7 linked regions of the Sus scrofa genome follow. The protein of the gene in region 7 purifies or fractionates together with the protein of the main gene of each other region. This does not show direct contact. Links are inferred from orthologs where the notes say so. Each region holds a gene or a part of one and is shown on either strand. Other genes may lie near its edges.

The links.
Region 1: the proteins of CDC5L (region 7) and SF3A2 purify together in Homo sapiens (affinity purification with mass spectrometry; 3 studies listed by BioGRID and IntAct, with this or other methods). This does not show direct contact. The link is inferred for Sus scrofa from reciprocal best matches to the Homo sapiens genes CDC5L and SF3A2.
Region 2: the proteins of CDC5L (region 7) and U2AF2 purify together in Homo sapiens (affinity purification with mass spectrometry; 5 studies listed by BioGRID and IntAct, with this or other methods). This does not show direct contact. The link is inferred for Sus scrofa from reciprocal best matches to the Homo sapiens genes CDC5L and U2AF2.
Region 3: the proteins of CDC5L (region 7) and SF3A1 purify together in Homo sapiens (affinity purification with mass spectrometry; 3 studies listed by BioGRID and IntAct, with this or other methods). This does not show direct contact. The link is inferred for Sus scrofa from reciprocal best matches to the Homo sapiens genes CDC5L and SF3A1.
Region 4: the proteins of CDC5L (region 7) and SRSF1 purify together in Homo sapiens (affinity purification with mass spectrometry; 4 studies listed by BioGRID and IntAct, with this or other methods). This does not show direct contact. The link is inferred for Sus scrofa from reciprocal best matches to the Homo sapiens genes CDC5L and SRSF1.
Region 5: the proteins of CDC5L (region 7) and SF3B1 purify together in Homo sapiens (affinity purification with mass spectrometry; 5 studies listed by BioGRID and IntAct, with this or other methods). This does not show direct contact. The link is inferred for Sus scrofa from reciprocal best matches to the Homo sapiens genes CDC5L and SF3B1.
Region 6: the proteins of CDC5L (region 7) and SNRNP200 fractionate together in Homo sapiens (co-fractionation; 4 studies listed by BioGRID and IntAct, with this or other methods). This does not show direct contact. The link is inferred for Sus scrofa from reciprocal best matches to the Homo sapiens genes CDC5L and SNRNP200.

The regions. Positions count from the first base shown.
Region 1 is NC_010444.4:76,407,882-76,411,381, reverse strand, and holds part of SF3A2 (splicing factor 3A subunit 2), read right to left. Parts: intron 1,310-3,500; exon of another isoform or gene 1,151-1,309; intron 781-1,150; 5' UTR 742-780; coding exon 616-741; intron 1-615. UniProt on the Homo sapiens protein: Component of the 17S U2 SnRNP complex of the spliceosome, a large ribonucleoprotein complex that removes introns from transcribed pre-mRNAs.
Region 2 is NC_010448.4:59,772,735-59,776,989, forward strand, and holds the start of U2AF2 (U2 small nuclear RNA auxiliary factor 2), read left to right. Parts: upstream 1-1,455; coding exon 1,456-1,504; intron 1,505-4,255. UniProt on the Homo sapiens protein: Plays a role in pre-mRNA splicing and 3'-end processing. By recruiting PRPF19 and the PRP19C/Prp19 complex/NTC/Nineteen complex to the RNA polymerase II C-terminal domain (CTD), and thereby pre-mRNA, may couple transcription to splicing.
Region 3 is NC_010456.5:47,332,649-47,336,818, forward strand, and holds the start of SF3A1 (splicing factor 3A subunit 1), read right to left. Parts: upstream 2,801-4,170; 5' UTR 2,640-2,800; coding exon 2,577-2,639; intron 1-2,576. UniProt on the Homo sapiens protein: Component of the 17S U2 SnRNP complex of the spliceosome, a large ribonucleoprotein complex that removes introns from transcribed pre-mRNAs.
Region 4 is NC_010454.4:34,279,319-34,283,618, reverse strand, and holds the start of SRSF1 (serine/arginine-rich splicing factor 1), read left to right. Parts: upstream 1-1,500; 5' UTR 1,501-1,590; coding exon 1,591-1,784; exon of another isoform or gene 1,785-2,211; intron 2,212-2,219; coding exon 2,220-2,404; intron 2,405-2,750; coding exon 2,751-2,923; intron 2,924-3,126; coding exon 3,127-3,321; 3' UTR 3,322-4,300. UniProt on the Homo sapiens protein: Plays a role in preventing exon skipping, ensuring the accuracy of splicing and regulating alternative splicing.
Region 5 is NC_010457.5:101,276,744-101,279,018, reverse strand, and holds part of SF3B1 (splicing factor 3B subunit 1), read left to right. Parts: intron 1-1,192; coding exon 1,193-1,409; intron 1,410-1,683; coding exon 1,684-1,842; 3' UTR 1,843-2,275. UniProt on the Homo sapiens protein: Component of the 17S U2 SnRNP complex of the spliceosome, a large ribonucleoprotein complex that removes introns from transcribed pre-mRNAs.
Region 6 is NC_010445.4:46,946,066-46,949,565, forward strand, and holds part of SNRNP200 (U5 small nuclear ribonucleoprotein 200 kDa helicase), read left to right. Parts: coding exon 1-112; intron 113-265; coding exon 266-454; intron 455-1,442; coding exon 1,443-1,640; intron 1,641-2,311; coding exon 2,312-2,464; intron 2,465-2,576; coding exon 2,577-2,657; intron 2,658-2,941; coding exon 2,942-3,025; intron 3,026-3,500. UniProt on the Homo sapiens protein: Catalyzes the ATP-dependent unwinding of U4/U6 RNA duplices, an essential step in the assembly of a catalytically active spliceosome. Plays a role in pre-mRNA splicing as a core component of precatalytic, catalytic and postcatalytic spliceosomal complexes.
Region 7 is NC_010449.5:39,390,897-39,394,396, forward strand, and holds part of CDC5L (cell division cycle 5-like protein), read left to right. Parts: intron 1-1,749; coding exon 1,750-1,849; intron 1,850-3,500.

The sequences.
Region 1 (3,500 bases), on a different chromosome or scaffold from region 7:
CCTGAGTTTGATCCCTGGCTTGCACAGCAGAATAAACTCCCAATGGTGAGATGGTATAGACCTGGGTGGCCGCCAGCACCTGTGAGCAACCCCCTCCCTCCCACTCAGGTGTGTATTTAAACGTGCTGCAGCATCTCAGGACCTCAGGGGTCAGATGGTTGTGGAGCACAGCCTCCTGGGGTCCACGGAATCCCTCACCTTGGGGTCTCACTTGGGTGGTTCCGCTCTTAGGGGACACTGGGCCAGCTCCGGGCATCCAGTGTTGGGGGCTCCTGGGCTACTCTAAATGCCGTGGTGCCTAGGTTGGCCCTACATGTCCACAGTGCTGTGTGTGGGGGGGACCTGTCCACCAACAGATAACTGTTGGTCTTCGCTGCCTGTGGTTGCAACGTTATTAACTCACATTGGGCCTCTGAGGCTTCACCACTGGCAATCCCACAGGCCTCTGCCTAAGTAAAGCTTCCTGTGGTAAAAACCCTTCAAACATGGGGCTACCAACAGAAAATGGTCTATGGGGGATAGCGAGAGCTGCTGTTCTAGGTCAAGTGCCCTGGTTCAGAGCAGGACCTTGAGGCCAGAGAAAATGGTGGGCAGGGCTACGGGGCCAGGGAGTACCTTGTTGATGTCGATGGTTTCCAGGGCCAGCTGCCGCAGGCGCTCCCTGCGATCCCGGTTGCTCTCAGAGGAGGAGGCCACACCCCCGCTCCCGGTCTTGCCGCCGGGGCGATGTTGGAAGTCCATGGCGAGGGCCCTGGGGGTTTACCAGACCAGGGGAGAAACCTGCCGAGGCCAAGGCCAAGGCAGCCATGAGGCTGCTGCATGTGAGACCTCGCCCTCCTGGGTTCAGACTCACCCCCACTCTGCACTCTCTCTGCCCTGCCAGCCCCTGGGCCACCAGAAGACTGGGCTGAGGGCCCACGATGAGCCATGTGCACAGAAATGAGGAATAAGGATGCCTGAGGAATGCAAAGGCCCAGAGACCCGAAGTGTTAACGGGGAAGGTGAGGCCAAGTTCTTACTTGTCTCACCTTTTCCAAGAAGCCTTCCCAGACTGCCCTAGCCCATAGTGTTCACTCCCTCCTCGTGGCTCCCTTTCTGCTTATCTACACTTTTTTTTTTTTTTTTGGCTTTTTGCTTCTCAGGGCCACACCTGCAGCATATGGAGATTCCCAGGCCAAGGGGTCAAATCAGAGCTGCCAGCTGCCAGCCTATGACGCCACAGCCAGAGCAACACAGGATCCAAGCTGCATCTGCGACCCACACCACAGCTCACACCGACATCCTCATGGATACTAGTCAAGTCCTTAACCTGCTGAAACACAGTGGGAACGGCTACACTCAATTTCCACAACCTAAATTCTTATTTTATTTTCTTTAGGGCCGCACCTGTGGCATGTGGAGGTTCTCAGGCTAGGGGATGAACTGGGAGTTGTAGCTGCCGGCCTAGGCCATAGCCACAGCAACATGGGCTCTGAGCCATGTCTGTTACCTACACCACAGCTCACAGCAATGCTGGATCCTTAACCCACTGAGTGAGGCCTGGATCGAACCTGTGTCCTCGTGGATACTAGTCAGATTTGTTTCCACTGAGCCACGATGGAAACTCCCTAAATTCTACTTCTCTGGCTCAGCTGTGCATTTGTTGGAGAGAAGGAACAAGTCTACTTACCTGCCCCCTCCCCCCACTGCCTAATGCACAAGAGATGTTTAAGATTTGTTCGCACCTGAGGAGGGCTTTCTGGAGAAAAATACTGAGTTTCTCCTCCACATCCTCGTCAGCCAGGCCCACTGCCCATTTTCCACACTTTCAGGCTCAGACCCAACCTCCAGGCACCTTTCTCTCATCTTACACTGTCCTTGGCTGGCCAGTGCTGGCCTCAGGGCCCCCTGATTTATTTATTTTTTTAAATTTTTTTATTTTTTATTTTTTTTGTCTTTTTGTTATTTCTTGGGCCGCTCCCACGGCATATGGAGGTTCCCAGGCTAGGGGCTGAATTGGAGCTGTAGCCACCGGCCTACGCCAGAGCCACAGCAACGCGGGATCCGAGCCGAGTCTGCAACCTACACCACAGCTCATGGCAACACCAGATCGTTAACCCCCTGGGCAGGGCAGGGACCGAACCCGCAACCTCATGGTTCCTAGTCGGATTCGTTAACCACTGAGCCACGACGGGAACTCCAGGGCCCCCTGATTTAAACTGGTGCTATCATGTCTCTGTTGGGGTAGGTTCCCAGGGATGAGGCCCAGGAGTGAATAAAACCCTCCAGAGACATCCCCATCCCAACCCCAGGGTGCCTGGATGAGCCACCTCATGTGGCAAGGGAGACAGTGCAGATGGGGTTAAGGCCCCTGATTTGGTGGTGATCTTGGATTCCCCGGGGGACCCAGTGTTGTTACAGGGTCTTCATAAGAGGGAGGCGGGAGGGTCAGAGGCAGAGAAAGATGGGAGATGCCATGCTGATGACTGAGGATGGAGGAAGGGGCAGGGATGCAGTGCTTCTGGAAGCTGGAAAAGGAGGAACCAACTCTCTCCTGGAGCCTCTGGAAGGCATAAAGCTCAGTGCGACTTCTGCTAAACTTGTGGTCTCCAGAGCTACATTTTTAAGTCCTGTCGTTTAAGCCACCAAGTCTGTGGTGGCTCACTGCATCGGCCACAGGAGACTAGTGCTCCGGGCACAGGCCAGCTGTACCATCTCCCTGCAGTGCAACTGATGAATTAACAGAAACCTCACATCTGGTGACCAGTGGGGTGATCTTTCAGTTGGCTGCAGAATTAACAGGGCTAGACTTTTTATTCATACAAGTCCAGCCAGGGCCTCTAACTTGTGAATCCTGTAAAGCAAGGTATGAAAGACAACAGCCATCAACCATCACCATCATCTCATAAAACAGTGACCACAAGCCTGTACTGCCCACCACGCTCAGGGCGACACTCAGGGAAGAGCACACCCAGGCGGCCTCCAGCCAGGGACTGATCACACCCGAGGGGAGGCCCTGCATCCGAGTGGCCCTGGGCCCAGCTTCAGCACCAACTCCCTGGCAAGTCAGCGCTTCACTCTCTCAGAAACTGGGATGAAGGGCCTCTTGGCAATGAGGCAGGTACAGTGGCCCTAGGGAAGCTGCGGTGAAGCCAGGCTGAACAGATGGCAAGTCCATTCAAACCTACCTACTGAACAACAGGCAGCCCCCACCCCACTGTGACCAGAAGGCAGGAGTCCCTGGTCCAGAGGAGATCAGGAGTCTTTTCTGGGAAAAGAGTGCCAGAGAAAGTATTCTTAGACTGACGGTTGGGGGCCTGCACCAGCTCCAAAACCTAGCACCTTGCCAGGCCCACTGAGTTCACTAGTTGAAAAGCACTACTTCTTTTTTTTTTTTTGTCTTTTTGCCATTTCTTGGGCCGCTCCCATGGCATATGGAGGTTCCCAGGTTAGGGGTCTAATCAGAGCTGTAGCTGCCAGCCTACGCCAGAGCCACAGCAACGCAGATCCGAGCCGCGTCT
Region 2 (4,255 bases), on a different chromosome or scaffold from region 7:
GGCAGGAGTGGGAGGAGAGAAGCAGCTGTGCCCTGAACAACTCGGAGGAGCAGAACTCCGGGAAGGAGGCATGAGCCGACTTGGACCAGAGGCAAGGCGGCAGAAGGCGGGACTCAATGACTTTTGGGAGAGGCGACCATCGAGGGGAGCGGGGAGCTCTGAACAGAGACTGCCTCCAGGAGGCGGTAAAGCGAGATTCTCTGTCTCCCGGAAGTGCCCGCTGCGTGGCTAGCAGCGTCGGCGCGGTTGGGGGGGGGAACGCTCGCTTGTGTGGTTGCCACGGCAACCGCAAGGGGGCGGCCTTGCTCAACGGTCGGGAATGTAGTCCCTTCCCTGGAGGAAGGAAATCTCGCGCACGCGCGCTCGGGCTGTGGCCCCGACGACCCGCCCCCCCTCTCCGAACAGTGAGAGGTCTCGGTTCAGACCGATCTCTACGCAGGCGCAGAGGCTCTCTCGCGCTCGCCCCTTCCACTTTGCGCATGCGCACAAAGCCGCGCTGGCAACCTCCGCAGCAGCCGCGCGCACTCTTCACTCCGCTGGCTGCTTTTGTCTCGCGAAACCTTCTTAGGCGCTTCTCAACATCGGTCCTTCTTTTCCTCCCATCGCCCCACAGGGAGAGCCGGGTGCTGAGAGCCGAGACCCTGCCTCTTCTTTTCCTTTCCCCTGACCCACCTCGCCTCTGTCCTCCCTCCCTTTTTGGTTCCCGGAGCCGGAAGGAGCCGAAGCGCCCACGGAAAAAGCCGAAGGTGTCTGCTGTGAGTCCTTCCCCAGGCGGTGGCGGAAGGAGCCGAAGTTCTCCGAAAGGGGGAGGAGGTTGCTCTTGGAATCTCCGGAAAGAGCCGAAGTTTGGAAACGGGTTTAATCTCTGGTTGGGCCCGAGGGGGAGCGCCAGAGACCTTCGGAAAGTGCCGAAATCCGGGACGGTTAGGATTGTCGGAAGTGGCCGATTGCTTGGACAGGGCCGTTGGGAAAGAGAGGGTAGAATCCGTGGAAGCAGCCAAAGACGGACGGTTTGAGTTCTTGGAAGAAGCTGAATTCTAAGTGGGGAGTCTGGGTGCTAGGAATGCGAGGACCTACGGAAACATCCGAACGTTGAAGAGCTACTATCCGAAAAGTTACGAAAACCTGAGAAGCCTGCGAAACCCTCGCTTCGGGTGTTTTCGGAAGCAGCCGAAGTCGCCTCTCCCTTCGCTCCTCCACGGTCCGGAAATAGCCGACGCGTTTCGGAGCCAGGCCCTGGGGGGAGGTGCGCCTCGTGGGCGGGCCGGCGGGGAGAGGGGCGGAGCCGGGGCGGGGCTGGGCGGGCGGCAGGGGCTTGATTAGGTAGGAGGCGGTGGAACGCCGGCGGCGGCCGGAAGTAGCCGAAGCAAGCGGCGGAAGTAGCCGAAGCGGCCGGATCGGGCGCGCGGCAAGGCGAGGCGAGAGCTACACAGGGCCCTACGCGGCCGCCTCAGCATGTCGGACTTCGACGAGTTCGAGCGGCAGCTCAACGAGAATAAGCAAGGTGAGGGCGCCGGGGGTGCGGGGCGGCGGGCGGGGCGGCTCTCGGCTTCCCCCTGTGTCCCCCGCCATTTTCCCCCTCGCTTCCCCCCCTTAGGCCCGCACGGCGCCCCCCCACCCCGCGGTGCGCGCCTTACTCACGTGACCGCCCGGCGTGCCGCCGCGCGGGAGGGGAGGGGGCGGCGGGCGCATGCGCGCCGCGTTCGGTTCCGCGCCCCACGTGGCCCCCGGCGCGGGTGGCGCGGGCGCCGCAGGCTGTCGGGAGTCCGTTGCGGACTTATTTTCTATTTTTTTAATTTGGAAAGGAGATTATGTAGATTGGGTCCCGCAACCCCTCCTTTTCTCCCGATGCCCTCGCACTTCCGCTTCCGGCCGGGCCCGCGGCCGGTGTCTCCACGCCCCCTTTGTTCCAAAATGGCGGTTGGAGCCCCCCTTCACGTGGGCGCATGCAGGGCCGCGGTGTGGGCCCTTCTCGCACCGCCGCCCTTCGCGCCTTTCCTGGGGGCTAGTCGCCGGGGTCCCTTCCAGCCTAACGTGGGTGATGCGGTGTCTCCTGGGAGAGGTCCGCACTGTGCGTTTTCAGTGTTCCTCCCGCACGCGGTTCTCCCTCGCGCCGTCGCGCCAGGCACAGTGTGGCGTGTCTGCCCCCCATATCTCCTCAGTTAGACAGGTCCCCTGTTCTGTACGAGCCCACCCTCCGGGCGCCGCGTGTGTCCGCCTTTTCAACGTGGCGATAAAGAGACAGGCTCGGAGCGAGTAGGGAGACTTAGCTCAGTTGGGAGGATGGGAGGCAAAGTCCCTCCGGTGATGCGGAGTCCAAGTAGGAGGCCGAGCTAGTGCCGACTAGTTTGGACACCCCACGAATGTTAGAACAAACTTAGGCCTGGAGGAGGTGGCGAGCGCGAGGCCTAAGCTCCTTGTGGTCAGAGGACTGCACAGGGGGCGGGGGGCGCTGGGGTTCCCCTTTCAGCCCAGTCTGCAGTTGGGAGCAGGTGGCTGGTTTAGGAGGAGACAGCGCCTGGGGAAGACGAAGTCGGGTTTCGGAGTGCCCACGGGGTGTCTGTACACGTTGTAACGCTTCACAGCACAGGCTTTGGAGGGGAGGAGACTTGGCTTCTAGTACCTGCTTTGTTGCTAAGTAGTTGTGGAACTTTAACACGTCTATGCTTTTTTTTTTTTTTTTTAATCCTTTTCTTGTGTGTAGTGGCTGTTAAATAGGTATGTGTCTTTATTACCGGTTTCTGGAGTCAATGGTGATGGCAGTACTGATAGTGCTTTGCTAAGCTTTTACACGGCTTATTTAAGTAGATGGTCAACAGCCGTGGGGGACTGACATGACTTCCTTTCCTTTGCAGAGGAGGAAGCAGGCTCAGAAAGCTTGAAAAACTTTCTTTGGTTTTAGCTGGTGAGAGTTGCAGCTGAGGTTAAGTGAGGTAATGTGTGTACAGTGTGTGGCATACGGTCTGGCATTCGTTAAGTGCCTAACGAGGAGTATTGTGAAATGATCCCTAGTGAAATTTCTTAGGAAGGTAATGGAGAGGCTGCCCTGAGCTGCCTCAGAGGTGGTGTCAGAGTTGGGACAGCAGGGAGAGGTGCTTTCCCAGCGTCATTATCCCATGTCCCACACTTGGGGCGGGATGAGCGTCGTTTAAAAGACCGGGAACACTGAGGTTGGAAGGTACGGTTGCTGTTTTGTGGTTTTATGCAGTTGGTAGACAGAAGAGCTGAAGCTGATCCTGAGTCTGGCTGCAAAACCACGTGCCCCTAGGCTGGACTGCTAGATGGAACTGAATGAACCTTCCTTGGGGCACTTGCACACGTGCTGCTTGGTTTCTCTTGGGTGTCCCCACTGGTACTGGCACGTCCCTTGGGCTGGTGGAGTTGTTCCCACAACAAAGTGATCACAGCGTTTTGAGTAACCACAGCTGCCTTTCCTTCCTGACCTGTTTGGGTTGAGGCAGGGAACCTACTGTTGCTTTAAGGGGAAGCTTTGCCCTAGTATCGTTGTGCCTGTGGGTCTTTGTCTCTGTGGTCCAAGCCTCCTCCAAGCCTCAGTCCCTGCCTTGTGCACCTGTGTCTCCAGGGAATTAATTTCCTTGTCTGTGTCTCAGGCACCCAGCAGGCGCCACTTCTTCCTCTGTGTCTGTTCCTCTCTGCCTGCTTGTCTGTTTCAGAACCAAAGCCACAAAAGACGCTGTTTTTATAGTTGGCCCATCTTTCAAGAGTGGAGCCAGAGGCCCAGAGCCTCAGGCCAGCACACCTCTGGGCCCTCAGTGTCATGCTTACCTGCTACTTCATGCTACTTGCCTCCTGGTTCCAGGCTTGGATTTGTTTTTCGTGTTCAGTCTGTGTCTTCAAGGAGGTAACCGCTTGTCTTTAGGGGCTCCCGCCAGACCCTGGAGTGTTCTGGCTGCCCCATGTTGAGTATTGCCTAGTGCTTAACTGCACTTGTGGGCATTTCAGTGTTCACAACTTCCTTGCTTTTTGGCCAGGGGCAAGTCACATGACCTCCCTGAGCCTCAGTTTTCCCATCTGTCAGGTGAGCCTCTAGCAGTGTCTCCCCAAGGTAACAAGATTAAGTTCAAGTAGAGCTAGCACAGGATCTAGTCTTAGGTACCATTGCAGTGTTGGCTGGAATTTTTTTTTCTGTTTTCCAAGGTGCGTGTTTTTCTGTCTTTTAGTGGTTCTGGAGTTTGAGTTCACTTGTGAAAAGTTTTATGTTTAATTGCATCAGAAAAACATGTGAGGCAAAAGC
Region 3 (4,170 bases), on a different chromosome or scaffold from region 7:
ATGCAGGCATCTACTCCCTTCCTCAGTCTCCACATTCAACGATAACAACATTCATCAAGCACAGAGTAGGTTCCATAGACTTTTCTAAGCAATTTAAGCATGTTAACTCTATAACCGTTTCAGAGCCCTATGGGGGTAAAGTGCTATAATCCACATTTTACAGATATCAAAACTGAGGAGGAGTTCCTGCTGTGGCTCAGCCGGTTAAGAACCCAACTAATATCCACGAGGATAAGGGTTCAATTCTTGGCCTCGAGGTCAGTGGGTTAAAGAATCGGGCGTTGCCAAAAGCTGTGACATAGGTTGCAGATATGGCTCGGATCTGGCATGGCTGTGGCTGTGGTGTAGGCCGGGAGCTGCAGTTGTGATTTGACCCCTAGCCTGGGAACCTTTTTATTCTGCAGGTGTGGGCCTAAAAAGACCTAAAAAACAAAAACAAAAACAAAAAACAAAACTGAGGAATGGAGACCTGAACTGGCCCAGAGACATCACTTTAAAAGGAGTGCCAGGGAGTTCCCATTGTGGCTCAATGGAAACAAATCTAACTGGTAACCATGAGGACACAGGTTGGATTACTGGCTTCCTCAGTGGGTTAAGGATCCAGTGTTGCCGTGAGCTGTGGTGTAGGTCACAGATGTGGCTCGGATATGGCACTGTGGTGGCTGTGGCGTAGGCAGGCAGCTACAGCTCCGATTTGACCCATAGCCTGGGAACCTCCATATGCCTCAGGTGTGGCCCTAAAAAGACCAAAAAAAAAAAAAAAAAAAAAAGATAAAAGGAGTGCTAGCACCATCAGCCCTTCTGTGACATGAGCTTGCTGGATCCCCTCTGTTCTATTCCCCTGCCACATATAGGTCAGGCCCTCAACTTTTTTTTTGTCTTTTTTGTCCTTTTTAAAAAGAGCCGCACCCGTGGCATATGGAGGTTCCCAGGCCAGGGGTCCAATCTGAGTTGTTGCTTCCAGTCTATGCCAGAGTCACAGCAACACCAGATCCAAGCCACGTCTGCAACCTACACCAGAGCTCGTGGCAACACCGGATCATTAACCCACTGAGCAAGGCCAGGGATGGAACCAGCAACCTCATGGTTCCTAGTCGGATTGTTTCCGCTGTGCCACGACAGGAACGCCAACATTTTTCGAATAATATGACCAACCTATCCTCCTAGCGATTCTCCACATTACTGTCTACCTGAATTTTGTGAAACACAAATGTCACTATCCAGCTTCCTTTTCTCCCAATAGCCTACTAGAAAAGTTCAAAGCCCCAGAAATACATCTCTTCACCACCAATTTCCCCAATTCTATGCTTTAACCTTTACACCCATCAGAGGTCCCATCAGTTCCTAGCTAGGTATCTTTGCACTTATCTGGTATTACCTTCTTTATTTTTACCAAGTTACTGGGAAAATGTTAGGGATACATAGGTGATTGCACTGATCAGCATAAAATATGTGCTCAATAAATGTTTGGTGAATGAATAAAGAATGGAATTTCCCTTCCCAATCCCCTATATAGTGAATTACCAATTCATCCTTCTAAACACAATTTACCTCTCACTCCCATGGGCTTCATCTATCTTAATCTCTCCTCTATCCCACCAAAGCAATGTTGATCAGAATTAATGTCTCCTTTGCACTTGATACTTATATCACACTGCAATTATCTATACACATCTTTCCTCCTTAGCTGATTAAGATGTTTAAAGGCTGGCTGGAACTGTATCATTTAAGGTGATTGAGGCAATAAACACTTATTGAGTATTCACTTATATCTGTCTCCCCACTAGTTCCCTAAAGCAGGAGTTGTGCTTCATTCATTAAGGTAAAGACAAAGCCTGGTACAGTATCTAGCTTAAAGGAAGCACAAAGGAGATGCTGAGAATTTAACAAAGTGGCACCATGCAGGCTGGGAAATTAAGGATTCCTGTCAAAGGCTTGTGGGGGCCAGTGGGCCCAATTACTGCAGAAGACCAGTGGATGCGCTGGATTAGTGATTCTCAAACTTCAGTGAATCACCTTTGGGTCTTGTTACAATGCAGATTCTGGAGTTCCCATTGTGGCTCAGTGGTTAACGAATCTGACTAGCATACATGAGGACGCATGTTCGATCCCTGGCCCTGCTCAGCGGGTTAAGGATCCAGCGTTGCCTTGAGCTGTGGTAGAGGTTGCAGATGAGGACTGGATCCTGCCTTGCTGTGCCTGTGGTAAAGGCTTGCAGCTACAGGTCCGATTAGACCCCTAGCCTGGGAACGTCCATATGCCACGGGTGCGGCCCTAAAAAGCCAAAAAAAAAAAAATGCAGATTCTGATTTAGAAGAAGTGGAAACTCAGCATTTCTAATAAGCTCCCAGGCGATGCTACACTTTCCACGGACTACACTTTGAAAACCACTGTTCCAAGCAGGCTTGTTTCGCTACTAGAAGGCAGGCGGGAAGCGCGCTGCCTCCTGGGACTTGGAGTTCCTCCAAGCCCTCCTAAACGGCTGCTACTTCCTCCGCGAGTGAGAAGCGCCCGCGCCGGAGGGGAGGGCTCAGGCCTAGGCTCAGTTGCCGGTGGAGATGCGGGGGTGGCTGTACCTGTTTGGGCTCGGTGGCCGCGGGCGGCGGTGGAGGCACCGCCTGCACGGGTCCGGCGGGCATGACGGCGACGCTCAGGGCTGCCAGTCCGCCTGGGCGTAAGTGAGCAGTGAGGCGTCAAAGCGGTTTCCCCGCACGGACTATGACACAAGCCCGCAAGATGGCGGCGGCGACTCGCCTGTCGCCGCCGAGGGGAAGAGGCTGACGTACTTCCGGGCACGCCCATCCCCGTGACGTAATTTCCCGCCCCTCCCCTTACGGGAGCAGCCAGCTCCCGACGCTGTTGCCATGGCAGCGGTCGAGGAACCAGGCTAGGGTTTGCTGAGGCTCCCACAAGCTACAGTCGCTCCGGGGGGGCAGTTCCATGAGCGGAGCAGACACGGGCTGAGGCTGCGACTCCAGAGACTGGTGAGACGTTTTACATTCCCCTTCCGACGTCCTCTCACGCCCCCCACGGCCCTGGCCCCCCTCTCCTTTACCAGAGTATTCCTCTCCCTCTGACCCTCGCTTTCCAAGGCCCCCGCTCCCTCTCTTTGGCCTCCCATTTGGCCAAAACCTCGTCCCCCAGCCTCTTTTTGCTTCAGGCCACCACCTCCTTCCCAAATATCAATCCCTAATTCCCTCTGGTACTATTTCCCTCTGGTCTTGCCTTTTCCAGGTTCCACCCCTGCCTTCCATAGTTAGGCCTTGAAATTCCGTGGACTAGCTCAAATCTGGCCGCCTTCTTTAGGCTCAACCTCTCACGCCCGGAGGTTTGTGCCTGTGAAATCTCTTCCCTCACTCCCCACTCCTCCCTCCGTCACTTCCAATCCCGCCCTTTTCGCTTCCTTTCCTGAGACCCTCTCTTCCCTCTTAACTCTGTAATGTGGCTCTCTCTGAACCCTTGCTTTCAATTTCTTCACCTATGAAATGGGGGAGTGATAGGAAAGGATACCCTCCCAATTCTCCTCCCCGCCTTTCTTCCTTATTTACACACCATAGTTGGTTTATGTCATTGTTATTATTAATGTAGAATGATAATGTTTGCTAGGGCTTTTTGAACATATACCATGGGTCAGACCCTGTGCCCAACACTACATGCATTACATTACATTACATTATTTCTTTCTTTCTTTCTTTTTTTTTTTTTTTTTTTTTTTGTCTTTTTGCCTTTTCTAGGGCCACTCCCATAGCATATGGAGGTTCCCAGGCTAGGGGTCTAATCAGAGCTGTAGCCACTGGCCTACACCAGAGCCACAGCAACGAGGGATCCGAGCCGCGTCTGCAACCTACACCACAGCTCATGGCAACACCAGATTCTTAACCCACTGAGCAAGGCCAGGGATCAAACCTGCAACCTCATGGTTCTTATTCAGATTACTCCTACATTACTTTATTTCTTATAGCAACTTATTTATGGATGAGGACAGTGAGGTTCACATCCTCAATTCACATAGCACAGTACGAATCCAAACCCAGGCCATTCTTACTCCTCTGCAAGTGCAATCAGTTACTTCTTTGTCTACACTGGAATTCCTTCAGTATCTCCTGGGACCCGGGCAGTTAGCAATCCTGAGTCAGACTGACACTGCCACATAAATGGTTTTAGAGTTTC
Region 4 (4,300 bases), on a different chromosome or scaffold from region 7:
CCTTTTAGAACTGAAAACATGACCTTCTGAAAAATCTTTTTAAGGCACTTTGGATCTTGAATATACTGTTTCCTTCTTTACTGTGACTGCCATGATGACTAGGGTCAAATTTGTAATCCATCTTTAGAACTCACAAATTTTTACTGCAGCCATTTTGTGTATTAACTTTATCCATGACTTCATTTTAATTTCCCCTTATATTCTCCGTGATTTCTCCATTCAATTGCAATAACGTTTTCTGGTATCTCTGTAAACAGCATCACATCACTGGGGAGAGGGATTGATGCGAATAAATAAAAATGAAGAAAATCATCCTCTCAATCAGGGTGCAGACCTGTTTCAGCATATTTATGACAGGGTTTTTTTTTTAATTTGAATTCACCATTAATATTTTAAAATCCCAGTATTTCATATAAAAATCCAGATTTCAGATGGCTCCGTGGCAAAATGTAACAAGTTCTTATCTCCCTGGACCAACATGCTGGCGAGATGAGTCCTTAAGCCGCCACTTCGGTCTCCAGTGGTCACAGAAATCCTCACACATCCACTTTGCTCATTCATATTACCTGAGAGATTTGCTAATGAGTTCCAAAAAAGGAAGGAACGTCAGGATTCTGCAATACAAACAGGAGGGCGCGCGTCTTTTTCGTTCTTTGAAAGACGTTGTAGAAATAACAGACACAATTCATTCTGCAAACCTTCACTGGACCTCTCCGCTGCGCTGGGCCCTGGCGATAGGTGATTTAAAAAAGAAGCAGAGGTCTGGGTCCTGGTTGGCTGATGCCGCCAGGAATTACCGCCACGAGCACAAGGAGCGTTGAACTGAGGTCAGTTCTGAACCGAAGGTGGAACGGTACTTAGCGTAGAATATTTATTAAAGCGTCTCAGCCAGGTTCCCCTGCATTAGACAGTCGTCCAAGCAGTCCACGGCCCGTTCGCAGATGGGGCGGGAAGACAAAGTCACGTCTCGGCTCCGCGTTGATTCACCCGCAACGCGACTCCTGAACGAGGTGCACTCTCCAAGGATGCCCGTGTTTCCGGAGCAACCGCCTGGTCCCTCCCCCTTTGACTCCGCCCCCGGCAGTCTTTCCCGCCAAAGGCCGTTAACAGCGCAGAGCATGGTGGGACCTAGCTTTAGGCTAGGTTTCACCAAATACTTTCAAGACGCCGTTTTTTTGAGAGAAACATTCCTGAGGAAACTGCTGATTCTTTAGGATTCGACAGAGATTAATAACCCCTTTTACGAGAGCTCTATATTTAATTTTGCCACAAGGCTGGTCACTCCCTTATTAAACCCCTCGACAAATCGGGAAGGCGGGAACTTTTTTCCCTTCGCGCGGAGGGTGACGTCGCGCTTGCGCGAGCGTCACTCTCGCAGCACCCGTTACGCTCTTGCGCGTGCGTAGTGAGATCGAATAGCTGCTTCCTCCCGCTTCTCTTCCTCCCTCCCCCCCATATCCGTGCGCCGAGCTGATAAAGGCGCCATTTTGGAGGGGCCGCGGGAGACGTGGTGTCGCTGCGGGCTCGCTCTCCCGCTCGCTAGGCTTGGTGGGAAGGCCTGTTCTCGAGTCCGCGCTTTTCGTCGCCGCCATGTCGGGAGGTGGTGTGATCCGTGGCCCGGCAGGGAACAACGATTGCCGCATCTACGTGGGTAACTTACCTCCAGACATCCGAACCAAGGACATTGAGGACGTGTTCTACAAATACGGTGCTATCCGCGACATCGACCTGAAGAATCGCCGCGGAGGACCGCCCTTCGCCTTCGTTGAGTTCGAGGACCCGCGGTGAGGCGGCCAGGGGCTTGCGGCCTTGAGGAAATAGGTTGGAGTAGTTGGGGAAGGCTCCGGGGCCTTCACTTGGGGAATGGGGCGGTGGGTTCTTGGGTTGGGGGCCAGACGATATCGCCCATGCAGGAGTCGAGTAAGGAGCCGAGTCGGCGTGGCTCCTCTGGTGGCCGGGCCCCACGGACGTCCCTAGAGCCGACTCGCAGGCTCGGAGCGGGAAACTGAGGCGCCGAGGGCTGCTGGAGTGGTCGGGAGCCTGGCGTGCTTCTGGGTGGGGGAGGGGCCGTTCCTATTATGCGGCGCATGTGGGCTCTTCCACCCCGGTGCGCATGTGCGGGGGCCCGCTCGCTCCCCGGCGGAGTGAGCCGCCCCTCCTGGCCCTTTTTTTTTTTTTTTCTTCTTTTCCTTACCCCTTGGCTTTCTCTGGTCACGCAGAGACGCAGAAGACGCGGTGTATGGTCGCGACGGCTATGATTACGATGGATACCGTCTGCGGGTGGAGTTTCCTCGAAGCGGCCGTGGTACCGGCCGAGGCGGCGGCGGGGGTGGTGGCGGCGGGGCTCCCCGAGGGCGCTATGGCCCCCCATCCAGGCGTTCTGAAAACAGAGTGGTTGTCTCTGGTGAGTTGGCGGGTCCGTGCGGATTGATGATAAGGGGACCGCACACCGTTTTGAAGTTTTTCTTGGTGTTTTCATGCCAGGTCTTCACTTAAACCGGAGTGCCTTGGGTGACTTTAGTTAACAAGGACTACTCTATTTGAGACTTAGCGAATTAGGTTGCAGTACCTAGAAGATAAGAAGAGCCTTAACTTTACAAATAATTTTGGACTCTTGATTCCGAACTCTTTTAACAGCTCGTTAAACGGGATGTTAAAGACCGTTGGTTTTAAGTCTTGTTTTAATGTAACCTTTATGTTTAATGTGAAACTTAGGATAATTGGTATTGAAAGAAAACGCACTTTTTCAGGACTGCCTCCAAGTGGAAGCTGGCAGGATTTGAAGGATCACATGCGTGAAGCAGGTGATGTATGTTATGCTGATGTTTACCGAGATGGCACTGGTGTCGTGGAGTTTGTACGGAAAGAAGATATGACCTATGCAGTTCGAAAACTGGATAACACTAAGTTTAGATCTCATGAGGTAGGTTATATTCTTTTCCTTGGCCAGAATTGGATACAGTGGTCTTAACAGTGGAATTTGAAGGTAAGATTCAGGCAAGGGTGTCCAAGTAAAAACCCAGTAAAGTGCCAGATTTCTGGTTTGAGTTACGTTGATTCATTCAGCATGCCTGAAGACAGGTGAAAGCTTAGATCTTTCAATCGAAAGTTCTGTCTATCCAATAGGGAGAAACTGCCTACATCCGGGTTAAAGTTGATGGGCCCAGAAGTCCAAGTTATGGAAGATCTCGATCTCGAAGCCGTAGTCGTAGCAGAAGCCGTAGCAGAAGCAACAGCAGGAGTCGCAGTTATTCCCCAAGGAGAAGCAGAGGATCACCACGCTATTCTCCCCGTCATAGCAGATCTCGCTCTCGTACATAAGATGATTGGTGACACTTTTTTGTAGAACCCATGTTGTATACAGTTTTCCTTTATTCAGTACAATCTTTTCATTTTTTAATTCAAAACTGTTTTTGTTCAGAGTGGGCTAAAGTGTTGAATTGCATTCTTGTGTAATATCCCCTTGCTCCTAACATCTACATTCCCCTCATGTCTGATAAATTGTATTTTAAGTGATGTCATAGACAGGATTGTTTAAATTTAGTTAACTCTCCATGCTCTTCAGACTGTGATACTGTGTAAATGTCTATTCTGCTCTGGTTTGTGTGAACTGGGATGTTGGGGGTGTTGGTGGTTATCTTACCTGGGGAAGTTCTTATGTTTATCTTGCTTTTCATGTGTCTTTCTGTAGACATATCTGAAGAGATGGATTAAGAATGCTTTGGATTAAGGATTGTGGAGCACATTTCAATCATTTTAGGATTGTCAAAAGGAGGATTGAGGAGGATCAGATCAATAATGGAGGCAATGGTATGACTCCAAGTGCTATTGTCACAGATGAAATTGGCAGTATTGACCTTATACTAAAAGGCAAGGGTTTAAAGTGATTATATACATCTATCTTAAAACACTTGAAAACATTTTATGCAGTTATATTTGGCTACAATTGCTTTACTCTTTAAAACTCTGGCAATTGTGGCAAAATTACATGGCCCATTTTGTAACAATTTGTTTTGCTCCCTTCCCTTTTTTGTTTTATTAGGGACTAATGTGGGAAGAACTGATTAATTTGTCACAGTGCTTAGTTACAACTGTTAATGTGTGACCTGCTGTTGGTGTACTTGTGGGTACAGGGTGTCTTTAATTCCAACCAGATAGAGTATAATATCAATACTGCTAAATCTGCATGTCCTCTGTGTGACTGATATAATAGCGTTGCTACTTCATTTTTTTAAGACAAAATGAAAGCAAAATAATAGAATTCCAATTTATTGGTGTAGATAATCTAGTTGGGAATACT
Region 5 (2,275 bases), on a different chromosome or scaffold from region 7:
TTATGTTCTGTGGAGTTCCCTGAGTGGCACAGTGGGTTAATAAGGATCTGGTATTTTCATTGCTATGTCGAGGGTGCAATCCCTGGCCCCAGAACTTTACATGCTATATATAGGTGTGGCAGAAATAAAAAATTTATGTTTTGGGAGTTCCCGTCGTGGCGCAGTGGTTAATGAATCCGACTAGGAACCATGAGGTTGCGGGTTCAGTCCCTGCCCTTGCTCAGTGGGTTAACGATCCGGCGTTGCCGTGAGCTGTGGTGTAGATCGTGTAGATTGCAGACGCGGAGGCTCGGATCCCGCATTGTTGTGGCTCTGGCGTAGGCCGGTGGCTACAGCTCCGACTGGACCCCTAGCCTGGGAACCTCCATATGCCGTGGGAGCGGCCCAAGAAATAGCAAAAAGACAAAAAAAAAAAAAAAAAAAGAGAGAGAGAATTACTGGTCCTTCTATTCCTTTCCCCAAGTTGAGAATGAAACTTAAAATTTTTTTTATAAGGAAAGGGGCTTAATCTCAATTTAGTTATCTATTGTATGCCGATATTGAAATACTTGAAATACTTTAGAAGATTTTAAATTTATGATGTTTTGGAGTTCCCATTGTGGCTCAACAGAAACAAATCTGACTACTATCCATGAGGATGCAGGTTCAATCCCTGGCCTCTCAGTGGGTAAAGGATCTGGCATTGAGTGAGCATTAGTGTAGGTCACAGACATGGCTCAGATCCCATGTTGCTGTGGCTGTGGTGTAGGCCAGCAGCTGTAGCTCTGATTTGACCCCTAGCCTGGGAACCTCCATATGCCACAGGGGCGGCCCTAAAATACTAAATAAATAAATAAATAAATAAAGTTACAGTTTAAAATGAGATATTACTGTTAATCACTTGTATGTACAGTCATATAACCCTTTTAGTAGCATACAAAAATGTACATTGCACCGAGCTTTCTTAGCTCATTACTTCCAAAGCAAAATAAATGTGGTTTGTTTTTGAGCCATAGTGAGGTTTGAGTTATTACAGCAAAAGTCTCAATTAGTCTCTATAAAAGCATTCTACATCACATACATACCGTGTGAGGATGACTCTCAATCCATTCTATGCAGTGAATTTGTGATTTAGTTTCAATGGACAGGCAGGTATTTTCTGTAAAACTAAGACTGTATCTTAACACAGAGCATTTTTCCCCTTCCATTTCAGGGACCTTGTACATAGACAGACGGCTAGTGCGGTGGTGCAACACATGTCACTTGGGGTTTATGGATTTGGTTGTGAAGATTCGCTGAATCACTTGTTGAACTATGTATGGCCCAATGTGTTTGAGACCTCTCCCCATGTAATTCAGGCAGTTATGGGGGCCCTGGAGGGTCTGAGAGTTGCTATTGGACCATGTAGAATGCTGCAGTATTGTTTACAGGTAGGTTACAGATTTTTTAAAGTGTGCTTGTTGAAAAAAATAATTTAGTTGAATTAATTTACTGTTCCTAATTATCAACGGGATGTGCCCTTTGGGAAAACGGTTATCTGGGGAAGGAGGATTAGATATTGTCCTTTCCTACTGCAATTTTGTGCAGTTGTTAGGTTTTTCCCCCTCTAAAGGGAAATGTTTACAGCCATATATATGGTTAGTTTGTTAGTTATGCTAAAGTTATGTATTTCTTGAAATAATGCAACGTTTTTAATTATTCCAGGGTTTGTTTCACCCAGCCCGGAAAGTCAGAGATGTGTACTGGAAAATTTACAACTCCATCTACATTGGTTCACAGGATGCTCTCATAGCACATTACCCAAGAATCTACAATGATGATAAGAATACTTATATTCGTTATGAACTTGACTATATCTTATAACTTTATTGTTAAATTTTGTGTTTAATGCACAGCTGTTTCACAACTTAAACTTGCTTCGATTTGGTGATGTAAACTTTTAAACATTGCAGATCAGCGTAGAACTGGTCATAGAAGAAGAGCTAGAAATCCAGTAGCATGATTTTTTAAATAACCTGTCTTTGTTTTTGATGTAAACAGTAAACGCCAGTAGTGACCAAGAACACAGTGATACACACATTATACTGGAGGGATTTCATTTGTAATTCATCTTTATGAAGATTTAGAATTCATTCCTTATGTTTAAAGGGAATGTTTAATTGAGAAATAAACATTTGTGTACAAAATGCTAATAACTTGTGTGTGTTTTTTAAACATGACTTGTAAAATGCGGAACTTTGATCAAGTATTGGTTTGTGTAGAATAAGTGGCTTAATTATCATTTTCTGTCACCTGG
Region 6 (3,500 bases), on a different chromosome or scaffold from region 7:
CCTGGCTTGGGGTGTGAATCTTCCTGCACATACTGTCATCATCAAAGGCACGCAGGTGTACAGTCCAGAGAAGGGGCGCTGGACAGAGCTGGGGGCCCTGGACATTCTGCAGGTATGGAGCTTTTGAGTGGGGACGAGTATGCTATATGTAAAATGCCAGGATGCCCAGAGGATGACAGGTGGAAGGTGAGGTTCTAAAGGTAGAAGCCTGGGATCCAGCCCCGAAGCTCTGTGACCACAGCCCTCTTGCTGCTCTCTGACCCAGATGCTGGGACGTGCGGGACGACCTCAGTATGATACCAAGGGCGAAGGCATCCTCATCACTTCACATGGGGAGCTGCAATACTACCTGTCCCTCCTCAATCAGCAGCTGCCTATTGAGAGCCAGATGGTTGCAAAGCTGCCTGACATGCTCAACGCGGAAATCGTGCTGGGGAATGTCCAGAACGCAAAGGTAGGGGAGGCCCCTTTCCCTGGCGCCTCGTGCCGTCTTCAGAGAGGCCTGGGTTCTGGGAGTGTGGTGATCTTGTGCGTGGTGCTGTGGGCCACCAGCACGTGGGGTCCTCCAACCCTGGGCCTCACGTCTCCTATGTAAGCAGGTTCTCATAAGCTGCTTAGGACTCTTTTTTTTTGAAGGGGGGCGGCGTGCTAAAAGCATGTGGAAGTTCCTGGGCTAGGAATTGAATCCACACCACAGCAGTGACCCGACCTGCTGCAGTGACAATGCCGGCTCCTTAACCTGCTGTGCCATAAGGGAACTCTCAGACTCATGTTTTTTTTTGTTGTTGTTGTTGCTATTTCTTGGGCCGCTCCCACGGCATATGGAGGTTCCCAGGCTAGGGGTTGAATCGGAGCTGTAGCCACCGGCCTACGCCAGAGCCACAGCAACGCAGGATCCGAGCCACGTCTGCAATCTACACCACAGCTCACGGCAATGCCGGATCGTTAACCCACTGAGCAAGGGCAGGGACCGAACCCGCAACCTCATGGTTCCTAGTCGGATTCGTTAACCACTGCGCCACGACGGGAACTCCTCATGTTTTTTAATAATGAAGTATTATAGGAGTTCCTGTTGTGGCTCAGCGGTTAACGAATCTAACCAGTATCCATGAGGATGCAGGTTCGATCCCTGGCCTCGCTCAGTAGGTTAAGGATCCGGCATTGCCGTGAGCTGTGGTGTAGGTCACAGACATAGCTTGGATCCCACATGGCTGTGGCTGTGGAGCAGGCTGGCAGCTACAGCTTAATTTTACCCCTAGCCTGGGAACCTCCATATCCCATGGGTGTGGCCCTAAAAAGCAGAAAAAAAAAAAAAGTATTGTAAATGTTCATAAGACAGCATAATACATGTTCTAATAGGAATTAATTTCCAAGTGTACCCTGGGAGCTTTTCACTGAGACATCAGCCCTCTGTGCTAAGACCCATGATCTGTCTCTTACAGGATGCAGTGAACTGGCTGGGCTATGCCTACCTGTACATCCGAATGCTTCGATCCCCAACCCTCTATGGCATTTCTCATGATGACCTCAAGGGAGACCCCCTGCTGGACCAGCGCCGACTGGACCTGGTTCATACTGCTGCCTTGATGCTGGATAAGAACAATCTGGTCAAGTATGACAAGAAGACGGGCAACTTCCAGGTGAGGGGCTGAGGGCTGGAGGCAAAGATCCCAGCAAAAGTTGTGGCCCCTGGAGACAGTTTTTTAGGTGCTGTCTTTTTTTCTTTTTTCTTTTTTGTCTTTTTTTGCTATTTCTTGGGCTGCTCCCGCGGCATATGGAGGTTCCCAGGCTAGGGGTCGAATCGGAGCTGTAGCCGCCGGCCTCCGCCAGAGCCACAGCAACGTGGGATCTGAGCCGCGTCTGCAACCTACACCACAGCTCACGGCAACGCCGGATCGTTAACCCACTGAGCAAGGGCAGGGACCGAACCCGCAACCTCATGGTTCCTAGTCAGATTCGTTAACCACTGTAGGTGCTTTCTTGATTTGAGTATTACCTGTCTTAATTGCCTGTTGCTTGGGACAGTCGAAAATAAGGTGGCATTGGCCTATGCCCTCTGAACCTAGGAACTTATAAGATGGCATTAAATCTGGCAGTGCTTCCTTTCCGTATCTTGAGCTGTGGTAGCTGAGTCAGCTCTCTTTTCTATGTGGGCATCACTTCCCTGTAGGTCAGTTTATCATGCCATCTCTGTTCACGTGTGTGGCCCAGGGGCTGGTTCTCTGTGTTCATCAGTGGGCACCTCTCGTCTGCGATGAGAGGTTGCCATTTGTCGGTGATCAGTGTTGGATTGAGTCTCCCTTCTTCGTAGGTGACGGAACTGGGCCGTATAGCCAGCCACTACTACATCACCAATGATACAGTGCAGACCTACAACCAGCTGCTCAAGCCCACCCTGAGTGAGATTGAGCTTTTCAGAGTCTTCTCATTGTCCTCAGAGTTCAAGAACATCACTGTGAGAGAGGTGGGTCCACACGGCATGTTGGGAACAGAAGTTGGTACTTACAGCCATGTCACTGGAGGGTTCTCTCCGTGGCCTCCTGGCCTTTCCTTGAGCTGTTTCCTTCTTGTGGTAGGAGGAGAAGCTGGAGCTGCAGAAGTTGCTGGAGAGGGTGCCCATCCCTGTAAAGGAGAGCATCGAGGAACCCAGCGCAAAGGTGAGTCCAGTTCCCCCGCTGGGGATAAGGAACAGGTGGTTTTCCTCATCTTCTAAAAGATGAACCTTGATTTTGGGCTTGGACTTGGTAAGCTGCTTGGTTGTCCTGGTTTCTGCATCCTTCTCATGTGTTCTTTTTACAGGAAGTAACGATTACTTAATGTCTTTCAATCGAGAGCTCTAGAGGGTCTCATCTGGCATGGGTGCCCACAGCAGAAATGCGATTCACTGTCTGGGGCGGTTCAGTGATGGGCCTCCTTCTGGCCAATTTTGATTTTTTTCCAGATCAACGTGCTTCTCCAAGCTTTCATCTCACAGCTGAAGTTGGAGGGCTTTGCTCTGATGGCCGACATGGTGTACGTTACCCAGGTGAGGGCAGGGCGGTGCCTCCTGTGGTGAGTTCCTCTCCTGTGTGCTCTGTCTGCGGTGAACAGTGAGGGAGAGGGGATGCTGAGCCTTCCCTCGATGGCTCGCTGGTGGGTGCACGTGTGCTGTAGCTGCTCTGTCGCACTGATGTTGAGTGTGTGGGAAGGTAAGGCCTTGAGAGGGATGCTGGGGAGGCTCCAGGGGACACAGTGTCTGCTCCCTGCAGAGAAGGCCTTCCCACTGTGGCTGCTGGGCTCATAAATAAACCCAGAAATGGCCAAAGGCTTTATTAGCTCCTCTTTGTCTTTACCTCTCAGGCTAAGTCAGTCCCTAAGACCCTTACTCTTGCTAGAACCCTAAATGCTAAATGAGCTAAAGGCTGTAAAGTCATGCAGTGAGCGGTAGTTGGAAGGCTGTGCTGTGAGCTCGAGCTGCATTTCTCTAACTGTCCTGCGTTCAGTGAGCATCTACTGTTAGT
Region 7 (3,500 bases):
CGCAGTGAGTTAAGAATCTGGTGTCGGAGTTCCTGTCGTGGCTCAGTGGTTAACGAATCCAACTAGGAACCATGAGGTTGCGGGTTCCATCCCTGGCCTCTCTCAGAGGGTCAAGGATCCGGCGTTGCCGTGAGCTGTGGTGTAGATCGCAGACACCGTTTGGATCTGGTGTTGCTGGGGCTCTGGCACAGGCTGGCAGCCTACAACTCCCATTAGACCCCTAGCTTGGGAACCTCCATATGCCGTGGGTGCAGCCCTAGAAAAAACAAAAAACAAAACAAAAAAAAGAATCTGATGTCACTATAGCAGCTCAGGTCGCTGCTGTGGCACGGGTTCGATCCCCGGCTGGGGAACTGCCACATGCTGTGGGTGTGGCCAAAAAAAAAAGAGTCAGAGGAACTATAATCTAGTTAGTGCGGTGTGTGCCGCTTATTAGCTGTTTGACTTTTAGGCAAGTCATGTAATCTTGCTGAACTTTGATTCTCATTCCTGTCAGATGGAGAGTAATAATCTATCTTACTTCACAGGGCTATTGTGAAGCATTCAGTGAATATTTGTTGAGTTTTTAATTTAAAAGTTTGAAGGTAGTGGTTCCCAAAGGCAGATTGTAGTTAGGCTGGTTGCGTCATTGTCACAGGATAAACTTTAAAAAATAGAGGTGGCAGGGCCTCCTCAGGAGATCTGAATCAGTAACTTGGGAAGAAGCGAGGATAATCCTGAAATCTGAGGGTTTTTTTTTTTTAAGATTCCCTTGTGATTTCAATTGATACCCTTATATAGAAATTACCCTAAGGTATCAGTAATGAAATATATTATTCTTTGGGGACCCATGGAAAAATGTAGTGGAGGAAAACAATAGTCTTGAGGGAGAAAAATGAAGGAAAAATGATAATGAAGATTATCAATTCCTTTATAATTAAATAGTAGTTTTTCCAGGTTTTTTTTTTTTTTTTTTTTTTTTTTTTTTTTTTTTGTCTTTTTGCCATTTTTTGGGCCGCTCCCGGGGCAGCTAGGGGTCGAATCGCAGCTGTAGGCTGCCAGCCTATGCCAGAGCCCCAGCAGTGCAGGATCCAAGCCGTGTCTGCGACCTACACCACAGCTCATGGCAACGCCGGATCGTTAACCCACTGAGCAAGGGCAGGGATCGAACCCGCAACCTCATGGTTCCTAGTCAGATTCATTAACCACTGTGCCGCCATGGGAACTCCAGTTTTTCACAATTCGTTTTGTGCCAGGTAGTTGGTGATAATGAAGGATATGATAATTACGGCCACTATAATGACTTCTTGCTTGATGAATACCTGTTTCATTTTACTTATTTTTTCTCAACGTCCTGATGAAGTAGGCATTTGTTATTTATTTATTTATTTATGAAGTAGGCTTTTTTTTTTTTTTTCCCACTGTACAGCAAGGGGGTCAGGTTATCTTTACATGTATACATTGCAATTACAGTTTTTCCCCCACTCTTTCTTCTGTTGCAACAGAAGTAGGCATTTTTTATTCTCATCTTGTAAATGGTGAAACATGCTCAGGGAGGGTAAATACATTATCTAGGGTCACATAACTAGCACGTGGTGGGCCTGGTTTTTAACTTAGGTTTCTCTGACTTCAAAACCCAAACTGTTTCCTTTATGCTATACCTTATAAGGATTATATTTATGATTTTTCTCATCTTAAGCCCTAGGTTCTGTCTCTTGCATACTTTGCTTCTGTTGGAGAAGTTAGTTTTTCTTCTCTTTATTTTTGCAGATGAACTCGAGATGCTTTCTGAAGCTAGAGCCCGCCTGGCTAATACTCAGGGAAAGAAAGCCAAGAGGAAAGCACGAGAGAAACAGTTGGAAGAGGCAAGGTATGGTTGCTTCCATCCATAGTTGAACAATTAGGCTGTGTATCCTTAGGCTCAGTAAAATTGCATGATTTATCAACCTCATTAGGTGAGTGATAAGTAGAATTGTTCACTTCCAGTTTTCTAATAGTCTTTAGTGTCTTTGTTACTTTGGAAGCCTTAAATATTTTCTCCTAACCATTTCAGAATAGTTATAGAAACAATATGTATTTTAAAAAAGTTTTGTAAAATGTGGCAGAAGCAGTGCCCAGATACAGACATGCATTTATGTGCAGGTGTACACGCGCGTGCATGGGCACTCTCTCTCTCTCAGTGTGTTTAATTAATTTTGTTAGCATAAAATAGCTTCATTTGTTCTAGCCTCTTGGCCTCAGATGCCTAGAGGACACACAGGGCTCTGGGACTTTGGCGCGACTGCCAGGGAGTTACTCTCCTTGATTAGTGTTGGACAGGCACTGACACCAGCTGTGAAACAGGAAACTCGGCTGAACACAGAGGGAGTTAATGAGCCCTGAACTGGATTTTAGGCTGTCATAGAAATTTCTATTTAAAAAATGAGTGGAGTTACATTTTGCCCTCGACTCAAGGTTGTCTCCATTTTCCCCTTCCTTTTGATTAGATCTATGATTGACATTATGCCTAATGGCCTAGAAACCAAGGTGAAGTGGATAAAGAGAAAACCTGAACTTTCTAAGAGCTTATTAGCTTTGGAATTCAGGCAGGAATAACCTTCAACTCCAGAATTTCTATTTGGTTCTTTTTAATCATTTCTATCTTTCACCGATTTTCTCTTTTTAATGAATGTTTTCAACCTACCTTCCTTCTTTAATCATGGCTTCCTTTTATTCTTTGAACATACTTCTGCCCCTTTGAAGTCTTGTCTGTTAAATCTGACATCTGGTTGCTCTCAGGTGTTGCCTCCTTGTTTTCTGGTGTGTGGGTCATACTTTCCTGCTGTTTCTTTGCATGTCTTACCTTTTTTTTTTGGGAACTGGATGCTTTGGATGCTCCATCGTAGGAATTCTGTGTACGTGTCCCCCGCATCCCCTCTTGGTTAGTGTTATTTCTAGTTTACTTGTTTTGCGACCAGCAGGGTTATTTTAGTGAAGTCTGTCCTCCCCTTCCCTCCTCCCACAATGGGAATCCTCTGATCTTGCTCCTTGTGGGGATGGTCTTGGGTGTGACCAGTCACTTGGGATGATGTGGTTTTGATAGGACTTTCTTTGACATCTTTCCCCTTGGCTATGCACAGCTGTTAAACTCTGCTAATTGTCAGCTTATTGCTGTATTGTTTTCAACAATATCTTGGGGCATAAGTTGCTCCACAAAGTGATCCCTTCATTGGCTCCTTTGAAGGGATTGTTTCTGAGGTGAAGGTTTGATATTTGTTCTGACCCCGGAAGGGCTTCCCCCACTTTTCAAAAGAGAAAGAGTCTCTCTGGCAAACTAGTGGGTCTGCAGTTTAGCCAGTATCACCAGTGAATGAATCTATCAGTTTCTTCCCAACTGCCTTTCACCATAGCTTCCACTGTTTTTTTTTTTTTTTTTGTCTCCCCATGGCATGTGGAGTTCCCTGCCGGGGTTCAGATCCAAGCCACAGTTGAGACTTACAGTGCAGCTGAGGCAGTGCCACATCCTTAACCCACTATGCTGG